Sus scrofa: one gene and its partners. The protein of the gene in region 1 interacts with the protein of each later gene in a pairwise test. Links are inferred from orthologs where the notes say so. Each region holds a gene or a part of one and is shown on either strand. Other genes may lie near its edges.

Region 1 (3,649 bases):
AAACTGTTTTTTCTTTTTTTCATAAAAGGAAGGATTACGGCCAGGAGATACAACCAGCACTTTCTGTGGCACTCCTAATTACATTGCTCCTGAAATTTTAAGAGGAGAAGATTATGGTAATAAATAAACTAGTGACATTTGACTATATACTAGAAGGGTGGTTAAATATGGTACCAATTGCAGAGTTCCCTGGTGGCTCAGAGAGTTCAGGATCCTGTGTTTTCACTGCTGTGGCCTGGGTTTGATCCCTGGCCCAAGAACTTCCACATGCCATGAACTTGTCCAAAAATATATATATATATATATATGGTAGTAATTGCATTACAGTACACTGTAGTATTTCAATACTGATCTTTTTTTCTTTTTTTTTTTTCCTGACTGCCCCATGGCACATGGAGCAACGTCTTAATTAATTCACTGTGCTGGGCCAGGGATCAAACCTCTGTCCCAGCACTGCAGAGACACTGCTCATCCCATTGTACCACAGTGGGAACTCTAATACTGATCTTATTAATATAAACCTTTTTTTTCTTTTGGCTGCACCCATGGCATGCAGAAGTCCCCGGGCCAGGGATTCAACCTGTAAACCTGCGCCACAGCAGCGACCCAAACCATAGCAGCGACAATGCTGGATCCTTAATCAACTGAGCCACCAGGGAACTCCAATATAAACTTTCTTGATCCTCTTAAAACCAGTGTGAAAACCCCAGACTCTGAAATTGGAGACAGTGGGACCTTGGCAGATTTTGAGGGTGCAAATTTGAATAATACATTTTATTAATGCAAGCACTTAACAGTGCTAGGCACAAGTTTAAGCAGTTTGCATATATTAACTAAGTTAATCCTCTCAATGATCCTGTGAGGTAAGCACTATTAATTACCATTTTACAAACAAGCTGATTTACAGAAAGTTTAAATCACTTGCCCAAGGTCATGTAGCTAGAAACAGGAAGAGTTGGGATTTAAACTTCAGCCATGTGACTCTAGAGTCATAAACCTCTGGAAAATTGTTCAGATATTGTGGGGTATTTTTCCTAGGAATCTAAGATTGACTGCTTGTTAGGAACCAGAGGATATGTTTATCTTAAAATATTTGACCCTTTGGGTTCTGGCCCTCTGATTTCAGCAGTTATAAAGGAGGATGGGTACTTCTGATAGCTGCTCATAATCTGGTTCCAAAGTCCTTTAAGAATCTAATCAGGTAACAGGAGATCAAGTTGCAGACCAAGGAAGGCTATTCTCAGTACACTTATATCCTTGAAATATCAGATACAGCCACAGCAACATCAGATCCTTAACCCACTGAGTGAGACCAGGGATCAAACCCACATCCTCATGGATACTTGTTGGGTTCATTACCACTGAGCCATGATGGGAACTCCTGATAAGTGAAATTTTTTTTGGTAAGTGAAATAGTCCCGTAATCCTCAATGCCTACCATGATAGTTGTAATGCATTTAGAGTTTGCTTTTTCATGAAGTTTACTTTTTTATTATGTAATAAAATGAATCTCAAATCACTGACTTTTAAGACCGCAGAATGGATAATTTGTTGCTTTAAAATTTCTTTTTCAAAGGTTTCAGTGTTGACTGGTGGGCCCTTGGAGTACTAATGTTTGAGATGATGGCAGGAAGGTCTCCATTTGATATTGTTGGGAGCTCTGATAACCCTGATCAAAACACAGAGGATTATCTTTTTCAAGGTAATTTGCAGTATTTTACAGAGATTCTCTGTGGATAACCTGTTCTAGAGCATGAATGAGGACAGCTTAAGTATTAACTTTGAGTAAGAAAGAGAATCATCTGGACAGTATATTCCTTAACATGTGAAGCTTTAAGTTTGTTTTTATTTCAATATATCCTTTTTTACTTCTCTTGTCTTCAGTCCATTTGCTAGTTACCTTCTCATACCCAAAAACACAGAAAGAGGTTCTTTCAGATGGTGTATCGCAGAGATTGGAGGAAGGAATTGTGTGTGTAGAGCGGACAGTCTTTTCACCTGGACCATGAGGCCGAATGCATAAATCTAAGAACAGTATGGAGGAAAAGTAGAGTACTAAGAAAACAAGAGGGATCAAAAGGTGAAAGAAAAAAAAGCCCCTAAATTGGAAATAACAAAGAAATGAACAGAACAGAAAGAAACAAGCAGACAGGCACAAGGACCACCCCCAACACACAGTCCAAAGAAGTTACCGTAAGATCCTGTGTTTAGCAGTTAAGGCCGTCACAGGAAATGGATAGATCTTTCATGTAATAGGAAATCCATATGGCTGTGGAATATATGGAAAGACATTCAACTTCACTACCAATTAGGTGTGTGCACATTAAAATGTTAATGAGCTACTATTTCATACCCACGCATTTGACAAAAATTTTTAAAGTCTGATAATAACTGTGCTGGTGAGGATACAGAGCAACTGGAACTCTCTTAGACTGGTAGTGGTAGTAAAAATTGACACTGCAGCTTTGGAGAATGATTTGGCAACATCCAGTAAAATCGATATAGTAATGTATACCACACATTTTACTGATACTAACTCATTTAAACCTCTTAACACCCCTATGAATCAGGTATTATTTGTATTCCAATTGCACAGATGAAACCAAGACAAAGGAAAGTAGTCAAAGAATAAAATGTATCCAGGTAAATATTATAAAAACTATTTAGATTAGGAGCTGTCTCTGAGAAGGAAGGAAAGGAATGGGATTGGGAATACACAGGACGCTTAAGTGGTGTGTGTAATGTCTTGGTTTTTTCCTGCTAGAATGCCTTAATTATCTCATAATAAAAATTTAAAGACTTGTAAAAGTTAAATAAAATGCCATAAATTTTACCTTTCTAGTTATTTTGGAAAAACAGATTCGCATACCACGTTCTCTGTCTGTAAAAGCTGCAAGTGTCCTGAAGAGCTTCCTCAACAAGGTATAAATTGTGTATAAAATCTGTAGTGATTTATCTCCGTACAAATGAAACTGGTAAGTAGAAGTCCAGGCACCTTAAAACTCTGAAATCAGAGACAATGGACCATCATCAAAGAGTAAGTTGGCAGCATTAGATCCTGAGAGGAGTTATTTCCATTTAATTTGCCCCCAGCTATATATTGCATGTGGTGTTTTCAAGGTAAATGATATATACCATGTACTCAATTAGGGAAAATTTACATCTTTGGGGATAGTCTTAATTTTATTTTCAGCTCTATTTTTTAAAATTTTCATAGAGTATCTTTACTTATTATTGAGAACTTGGGGCAGTAGATTCCCTACAAAATCTCATATCAAAACCCTATAATTAGATAATATTCAGAAGAAATGAAATGCTATCATTGGCTCTTTAAAAAATCTGAACACCATTCCATTGTTTGTTGCATTGATGGACTAAAAGCATTTTAGGATCTAAGATTACAATTCTGAAGTGTTTTTACTTATCACTTCTAACACCACATGTGTAGTTTTTTGTTTTTTGTTTTCCACACAAACAACCAACTCTCCAACTCTTACTTTAAAAATCTTATTTTAAATAAGTGGTAGATTAGAAAGTAGGTTGATGTACATTTAGTTTCTAAGATAAATAGATATGATATTGATTTAAAAAGATAAATTCAGGCTTATTTTAAACAAATATTTTATATGAAGAAAGATTTAAACTAGAA
Region 2 (3,649 bases), on another chromosome or scaffold:
GGTTTCTGACCGGAGGGAGCTGAGCAGCTTGTGCATGCTGCCCTCTCGCCCAGGGCTATGCAGGCTGGATGCCAGGCTGGCTCCGTTGATCCGCGGGAGGCTGCTGGCCGGCGGCCTAGAGACCTCGAGGACTACATCAGCCTCCTCGTCACTCTCCATGTCATCCGGGGGCAAGTTCTGCAGGACGTGGGCAGTGGGCAGGCTGTGGCGGCTGGCCGTGCTGTCCGAGGATCGGCTGGAGCTGCCCGATGCGCGGCTGCCACGTACCACGTTGTTCCTCTGATTGGCTGGCTTGACTGTGACGATGAGGTTGTGGCTGTTGGCGATCATCATGTCTGTGACCTGGTCCAGCGTCTTCCCGGCCACCTCGATCCCATTTACCTCCAGGACCTCATCGTCCACGGCCAGCAGCCCAGTGCTCTCAGCCAGGCCTCCAGGCACCATGCGGGAGATGAAAATGCCGGGCACTTTCTCCAGCCCCTGCGGGGCCACGCGCACGCTCGTGCCATCGCGGATGTAGAAGCCCAGTGGCTTCTGGCAGCCGTGCCGGTAGAGCCTTACACGGCGGTGGGTCTCGGGGAGGATGTCCACATCGATGATGGAGGACACAGGGCGGAAGTCGTGCGGCAGGCCGATGTGCAGGTGCGCCCGCCGGCGAGGGCCGTCCTCCCGCAGGGCCAGTGCGCGCCGCCGCCTGGATAGTGAGCCTGCCCCGAAGCTGCCATGCTCAGCCTCCTCTGGAAGAGTGCAGAGGCAACAGTCAGAGGACAGACCATGGGGGCAATGTGGAAGCACCAGTCAGGCAGCATTGAGGCTGGCTGTCCAGGTGTATCTCGGCTTTCTGCAGCTTACCTTCCCACCACTTCTCTAATCTGTGATATGACCCCAGGGAAGTCCGAGGCAATGATTACCACAGTCAGATCAGGTAAAGACTGAAATAAATACACCTCTCACACAGGTGGTTAGGAGTTGAATGTTCATTTCAGCACACTTCACCTTCTGGGAAAGTCTCAACCTCCAGGATGATATGCAGACACACTGGAGTAACTGGATGACTTGCTTTGCTGAGCCCACAGCAATCAGCTGAGCTGGACTAACAGTATTCACCAGGTAAACGTTTGACACTGAATTCAAGCACGATCACCTCCCTAAAATTAGTTCTTTAAAAATCCCCAAACTGATCGCCTGCCAACCAGGCAACCAACAGAATGAATGAAAGGTTAAGAGAATTAGATGGAAGATTTAAAAGTGACTGACTGAATTCTGGGATGATGGTGGAACAGAAAGCATCATGAATATTTCCCCATCAGGACAATAACTGCAGGGCAGAATCTGTCTGATGTAACTCTTTTGGAACTTGAGAGTCTGCTGAAGGCTAAACTTCCAGGGGAAGAATTGGATGGTAATTGTGGTCGATTTTGGTCAATTTCAACACTTAGCACAGTAGCAGCTACTTTTCTACTATCCTAGCACCCAAGCAAGCAGCTGTGCACATGTTTCTGGAGCAGTTTGTGGGACCATGGTGGGAAAAAAATACCCTGTCCTCCAAACATCAGAGATCTATGCTCTGCTGCTGACTGCTACTTCTGATCACAAAGGCACAGACAGAGGTGAGTGGCTATTGTACCTCCCTGCCTTGTTGCAAGCCCATCCCTTCCAGCTAAAGGAATGTCCAGGAGAGTTATAGGGCTGGCACTCTTTCTCTTCCTTCATTTTTCATGTTTTCACATTTTGGAAGCCAAACCTTAAAGTCTAGGACATTAAAAACAACTGTATAAATGGGGAAAGTTGGAAAGTGACTGCACACGCATAAGGAAAATCTCAGAATGAACCTTAGAAGAACTTAAGTTCACATCTTAATGCTCATACTCAGCAAAGAGACAGCCTACAATAATTTTCAAAAACCCAAAAGAGTAACAACAAAAACTTAGCAAACCCTGAGGAAGGGGTAGAATCTGATTTCCAGAGAGCTACCACATCATTAAATTAATCTCCAATGTTTAGCAAAAAAATCCACAGACATACAAATAAACGAGAGTATGATCTACTCAAAGGAAAATAACAGAAACTGTCCCTAAACCATCTGATGGCAGATTTACTAAAGACTTGATTTTTAATTTTTTTTTGGCCACTTCCATAGAATGTAGAAGTTCCCAGGCCAGGGACCAAACCCATGCCACAGCAGCAATGCAAGCCACTGCAGTGACAATACCATATCCTTAACCTGCTATGCCACAAGAGAATTCTAGGTTTATAGACAAAGACTTCAAAAAAGTGGCCTGGAGTTCCTATCGTAGTACAATGGTTAACGAATCTGACTAGGAACCATGAAGGTTGTGGGTTCGATCCCTGGCCTTGCTCAGTGGATTAAGGATCTGGTGTTGCCGTGAGCTGTGGTGTAGGTTGCAGACACAGCTCAGATCCCCCATGTTGCTGTGGCTATGGTGTAAGCCTGTGGCTACAGCTCCAATTAGACCCCTAGCTTGGGAACCTCCATACGCTGCAGGAGCGGCCCTAGGAAAGGCAAAAAGACAAAAAGACAAAAAAAAAAAAAAAAAAAAAAAAAGACATGATCAAAAACCTAAAAAAAAAGATATGGGGAAAAAATGTATGAAATGGAAATATCAATAAAGAGACAGAAAACCTAAAGGGAAACCAAGTTGAAATTCTGGAGCCGAAAAGTACAATAACTGAAATGAAAAACTCACTAGGGGGATTCAAAGGCAGATCTGAACAGGTAGAAGAAGGAATCAGTGAGAAACAAAAAAAAATTAAAAGTGAACAGAGCCTAAACAACTGCTGGGATACCATTAAACAAACTGACAAGTAACTTGTGAGAGTCTCAGAAGGAGAAGAGAAAGGAGTGGAGGGACTATGAAGAAACAATACCTGAAAACTCCCAAACTTTATGAAATGCAGAAATATAAACATCCAAACTCGATGAACTCAAAGAAACCCAAACCAAGTCACAATATAATCTCACATGCCCCAGGACACAGGGCAGAAGCAGTAATTTGAAAAGAGGCTGAGTCAGGCCCACCTGCTGATCTTGGAGAGTCTCTTGGAGAGGCAGGAAGCAACTGAAGTTCTCCTGGGGACACAGACACTGTGGCAGCCATTTTGGGGGAACCTGTACCACCACATGGACACTGGTACTGGCAAGTGCCATTTTGGAGTCCTCTCTCTAGCTTGTTAGTCTCAGGACCCAGCCCCATCCCTGGACCACAGCCTGTAAGGCATCTGTACCGGGAGGCCCCAGGACAAACAACTAGCCAGGCAGGGACACAGCCCCACCCACTGGCAGGCAGGCTACTTTAGGACATTATGAGTCCGCAGCTACTCCTGCAGATATCCCTGCCCAGTGGAGAGCCTAGGACCTAACACCACATACCAGTGTACTGGCACTAGACCCAAGATCCACAGGCCCTGCAGCCAGAGACTGTAGGACCCAGCTCTGCCTACCAGTGGACAAGTACCAGCCCCAGAACTCCCGTGGCCCCAGCTTTGACCACTAGCAGGAAGACAATAGTCCTAGGACTACAACAGCCCTGCAACATGCTGTGGCAGGATGCAACCCACTTATCAGCAGGGCAACACCAGCTCTGGGACAGTTGGGTCCTGAAGCCAGAGATTCCAGAACCAAGTTTCA
Region 3 (4,268 bases), on another chromosome or scaffold:
GCCACCTAGAATGTGTGTGGACATCCGTCTCCCGGCATCTTTTGGTATGTTCTAGAAATGCAAACAATTTTAAGATTCTGTTTGCCCACAAATAATAACTAGGAAATGTACAGACCAAAGACTATTCCAAGTCTTTAATAACCCAAGGTTATTAAAGGACACCACCTTGCTTATTGATTAAGAGCTTTTCCAACTCTGGAGAAACAGGATGATACATCAGTTACCAAAGTCACATGGTAACTGGCATCGCAACTTAACTATAGTTATATTTGTATTATCCATTACTTGTGCTATTTTCCCTTTCCATGAGCAAAGATAATAAAGTTGATACTGTTTTCTGTGCAGAAGAAAAAGATCCTGAAAGGTGATCTGGACATCACCTAGTTGTGGTTACAAGCTCCTGGAGAACAACTTTGTAAAAAGTTGTGATATCACTAAGGTAGTGAAAAAGGAAGTATTGTTTCACACATCTGTCCAAATATTTTTTAAAGGGCAAAGATGCCAGGTGTTTTATTTAATCCATTAAAAATAAATGCATATTTAAAACACAAGGTGTCAGGACACACTAGAAACAGCACTGTGCCTATTTATCAAGAGCTGGAACTCGAGTGGGACCTCACTTCATGAGATGCAGGTTCTCAGAATGCCTTAATTCTATTTAAGAGACATGATTCACTAGAATGACAAGTAAAATACATAGTATGGGAAAAAAATCACAGATCAGTTGACAGAAGAGAAGGGCAGTAAGCCTGAAATTCCAGTCCCCAAGACCTCAAGGTTTCCGAGTCCCAGAGATAAATTACTACTTGACTGTATTTATCAGTGCACCTAGAAGCCTTACTCATTTTTTTCCAATGATAAAAAATTAAAGACTTGCTACCACGATTAGGACCGCAAACTGAATTTCAAGATTATGCAATATCATAAGTGTTTTTCTTTTCTTAACCTCAACTCCTACAAACCCAAACTAGATTTAAAACAGAAATGCCATGAAAAGGTTCAAGCTCTGGGCACGGAACCACTACCACCACTACACTAGAGGGAAAGTTCTATATATTTTGAGTTATTCTTAACTTAGTTCAAGCATGTTACTTCAATTTGCTATGGCAGTTCCATGGGGGACACTGGAAAGTGTATTCCTTAAACTGCCATAATTACATTTATACTCTTATTAAGCAGAACAGTTTCTGAAACTAGTGCCTATTCTGATACACGAGTTAGGTTGAAAATTACATTTTAAAATAATGTTAATAATAAGTGTAGGAGTTCCCGTCCCGGAGCAGTGGTTAACGAATCCGACTAGGAACCATGAGGTTGCGGGTTCGGTCCCTGGCCTTGCTCAGTGGGTTAAGGATCTGGCGTTGCCATGAGCTGTGGTGTAGGTTGCAGACGCGGCTGGGATCCGACACGACGTTGCTACGGCTCTGGCGTAGGCCAGTGGCTACAGCTCCGATTAGACCCCCTAGCCTGGGAACCTCCATATGCCGCGGGAGCGGCCCAAAGAAATAGCAAAAAGACCAAAAAAAAAAAAAAAAAAAAGTGTAGATATTCTTAGCGCAATGATCTCAGTTACAGCAATTTACAGAACTTTACTTATCAACTCTGGATAATAGAAACCATTCTATCCACAGGCTCCAGGGAGCCCTCCTTACTCTACTGCACTGAAAATCACCCCTTGATTTTGCATTCTCCTCCTGTAATCTTACATTCAATGATATTTCATTATTTTTTAAGTTGATACGGTTTTACTTTTCTCCTCTTCCTTCATGTGTTTTGATCTTCCCAACGCCACATGTTGCCCGGCCCCTGTTCTCTTTTGCAGTCTCTGAAGCCTACACCTTATCCTTAAAAAGGCTTTAAGATTTTGTCATAAAAAGCAGAGCTTGTCGAAGTCATAACCTTTCTGAGCTCCTCATGTTCCTGGAGAATCAGACTAGATTATCTAAGTCCCTTTTGGCTCTTCGATTCATGTTTGGGGGTGGGGCGGGGGATCATCTTCAAATTCCAGCTCAAAACTCCCCTTGGAAAGCATTCCCTTACTAATCTCATACGCTATCCTGCTCAGGGAGCCTTGCAGTTTAGGAATTCCGTGGCTACCGAGGTAATTATCAGCAGACTGACATACCGTTGGTCGAGAGTGAAAACACTTGACGTGAAAAGGTAGCATGATGGAATGAAAAGAGCACCCAGATTCAAACTGTAAAGGGCTAACGAAAGTAGAGATTGTGTTAATTTTATAGATTAAATGCATGCCAAAGTTAGAGCTAGAAAAATCCCTAGCAGGAGGCAAAGCTAACTTTAGAAGGGCTCTTAAGTTCCCTGGGCTCTCTCACCACTACTCGATGCACCCTTGAACCACAGGAAGAGGTAACATTTTGTGACCATGGGTGTTCTAAATACCCTTTACTCATAGGCCAGGAGATAGAATTCCTCCAAATGTTTCGTACCACGCTCCGCTCAAACGTCTCCCACCCTCGGGTAGACCTCGGCCCTTGCTCCCATCCTAGAACAGGAACGATTTTTATGGAAGGAGACTGGTCTTTTTCCTACCTGGAGCAGGGGCAGACACGATGCCCCCACCCTCGCCCCCTTCTCAGCAAGTTCATTACCCACTTTCTTCTACCTACAAAACCCACCACTGCGTCCCCTACGCTCTCAAGCCCCCGGGCAGCTCCTAAGGCCGGCCCTGGCCAGCCCCTGGCCTCCCCCAGGCCCCAGTCGGTCCCCTTCATCCCCACAAGGCCCCGGCCCCAGTCCCCATCTAGCTGGCCGCTCCGCCCAGCCCGGGCCCCGCGCACCTTGCTCTTCACCTCCATGGTCCCTAGGCAGCCGCTGCCCGCTCCGTGCCGGTGGCTGCGGTTCATCCTGAGGCCGGGCCCCTCAGCGGCCTCCTCCAGCGGGGCCGCCCCTGGAAGCGCAGGGAGCTAGTGCGCGGCGGGTGGAATCGCGACGCGGCTGCGGCCCGGGCGCCTCCTCACAGGCACCTGCAGAGGGGCGGCCGCAGCTCGGGTTTCTGCGCAGAGCTCCGCTCGACTGGATCCTCACGCGGCGGAACCAAGGGTCGGACTGGCGGCGCTGCAGGCGGGGACGCGACTCCCTCCCTCCCGGCCTCCGCGGCGGCGGAGACGCTGAGAAGGAGGAGGAGGCGGAGCAGAGGAGACAGGCGCCGCAGCCTCGCTCCCGGCCACCTCCCCCGCGAGCCCGCGCGCGCGCGCACTCGAGCCGGGCAAAAGCCGCGGCTCGTGCGCGCGCTCACCTGCAGCCTCCGTAGACGCCTTGGCCGCTCGCGCTCCGCCCACACCCAATGGGAAGCGCGCACCTGCGCCCTCAGCGCCAACCAATTGATACACGCCTCGCGAAGCGCATGGGCGGGCCGCCTTCTCGAAAATCCCGCCTACCGCCGTACAATTGGTCCCGCGTTGCGAGGGAGGGGCGGGATCACCTGAAGCCTTGGGCCTCCTCTCTCGACCAAGCAGGAGAGCTGGAAAGCGCATGCGCGCGCTCTGGAGTTTCCGCCCCGGGACCGCTGGCCGGAAGCGTGAGCGCACCTGGAGACGAGCTAGGGCGGGTTGGCCGTTTGCGCACGCGCAGGCGCGCGCCGCGTTGCCTTGCACCCGGCCGGAGCTCGCGCCCGGGTGATTGCGGAGGCGCGGTGGGGCTGATAGGTTTGTGCTGTCCCTTCCCTTCCACTTTGGGATGCTGCAGCCTGCAACAATGCCCCTCCAGCACCCATATACGTCGTTTAGGCTTCTGGCTGCAACTCTGATTGCAAAATTCAAGTTTCTCGCCTCTGCAGCAGTTACTGGGCAAGAATCTCAGGGGCTCTCCTGACTTAGTTTTGTTAGTAAAGACTCTTCAGTCCGTCAGATCCCAAGGGGTTGAGTGGGCACTAGAACGGAGGGCTGAGGCCATGGATGGCTTCTCGAAGGTCCGGCAGAGAGTACTTCTAGATCAGCCTTCCAGGGCTTTCCTTTTTATTTTTTTTTTTAATCTCTGAAGTTTCCCTCTCCCTCTGGCCGTTTCTGGGCTATTCGCTTTGTGCACCAATGACTGGATTGTGTTCGTTGTCTCCCCACCCGGCAGATAATAAATGACTGAATCCGTCTCTCTAAATGCCCCAGAACTGGCTTTCTCCTCACAGGAACCCTGTTCAGCACTGGCCCTGCTAGGGCGGTGAGGAGACCCCCAAGGCCCCCACCCACCTGCAGAGGGGCTCCCAGCAGCACTGCTGCTCATCAAAATCATTGGAACCCTCCATCAGCTGGACC

What was found.
Region 2: the proteins of PRKCI (region 1) and PARD6G interact in binary tests that used the Homo sapiens proteins (3 or more experiments, as listed by UniProt). The link is inferred for Sus scrofa from reciprocal best matches to the Homo sapiens genes PRKCI and PARD6G.
Region 3: the proteins of PRKCI (region 1) and PARD6B interact in binary tests that used the Homo sapiens proteins (3 or more experiments, as listed by UniProt). The link is inferred for Sus scrofa from reciprocal best matches to the Homo sapiens genes PRKCI and PARD6B.

What each region holds. Positions count from the first base shown.
Region 1 is NC_010455.5:108,985,901-108,989,549, forward strand, and holds part of PRKCI (protein kinase C iota type), read left to right. Parts: intron 1-28; coding exon 29-116; intron 117-1,576; coding exon 1,577-1,702; intron 1,703-2,842; coding exon 2,843-2,922; intron 2,923-3,649.
Region 2 is NC_010448.4:128,163,675-128,167,323, forward strand, and holds part of PARD6G (partitioning defective 6 homolog gamma), read right to left. Parts: intron 738-3,649; coding exon 1-737. UniProt on the Homo sapiens protein: Adapter protein involved in asymmetrical cell division and cell polarization processes. May play a role in the formation of epithelial tight junctions. The PARD6-PARD3 complex links GTP-bound Rho small GTPases to atypical protein kinase C proteins.
Region 3 is NC_010459.5:52,193,956-52,198,223, reverse strand, and holds the start of PARD6B (partitioning defective 6 homolog beta), read right to left. Parts: upstream 2,865-4,268; coding exon 2,799-2,864; intron 1-2,798. UniProt on the Homo sapiens protein: Adapter protein involved in asymmetrical cell division and cell polarization processes. Probably involved in formation of epithelial tight junctions.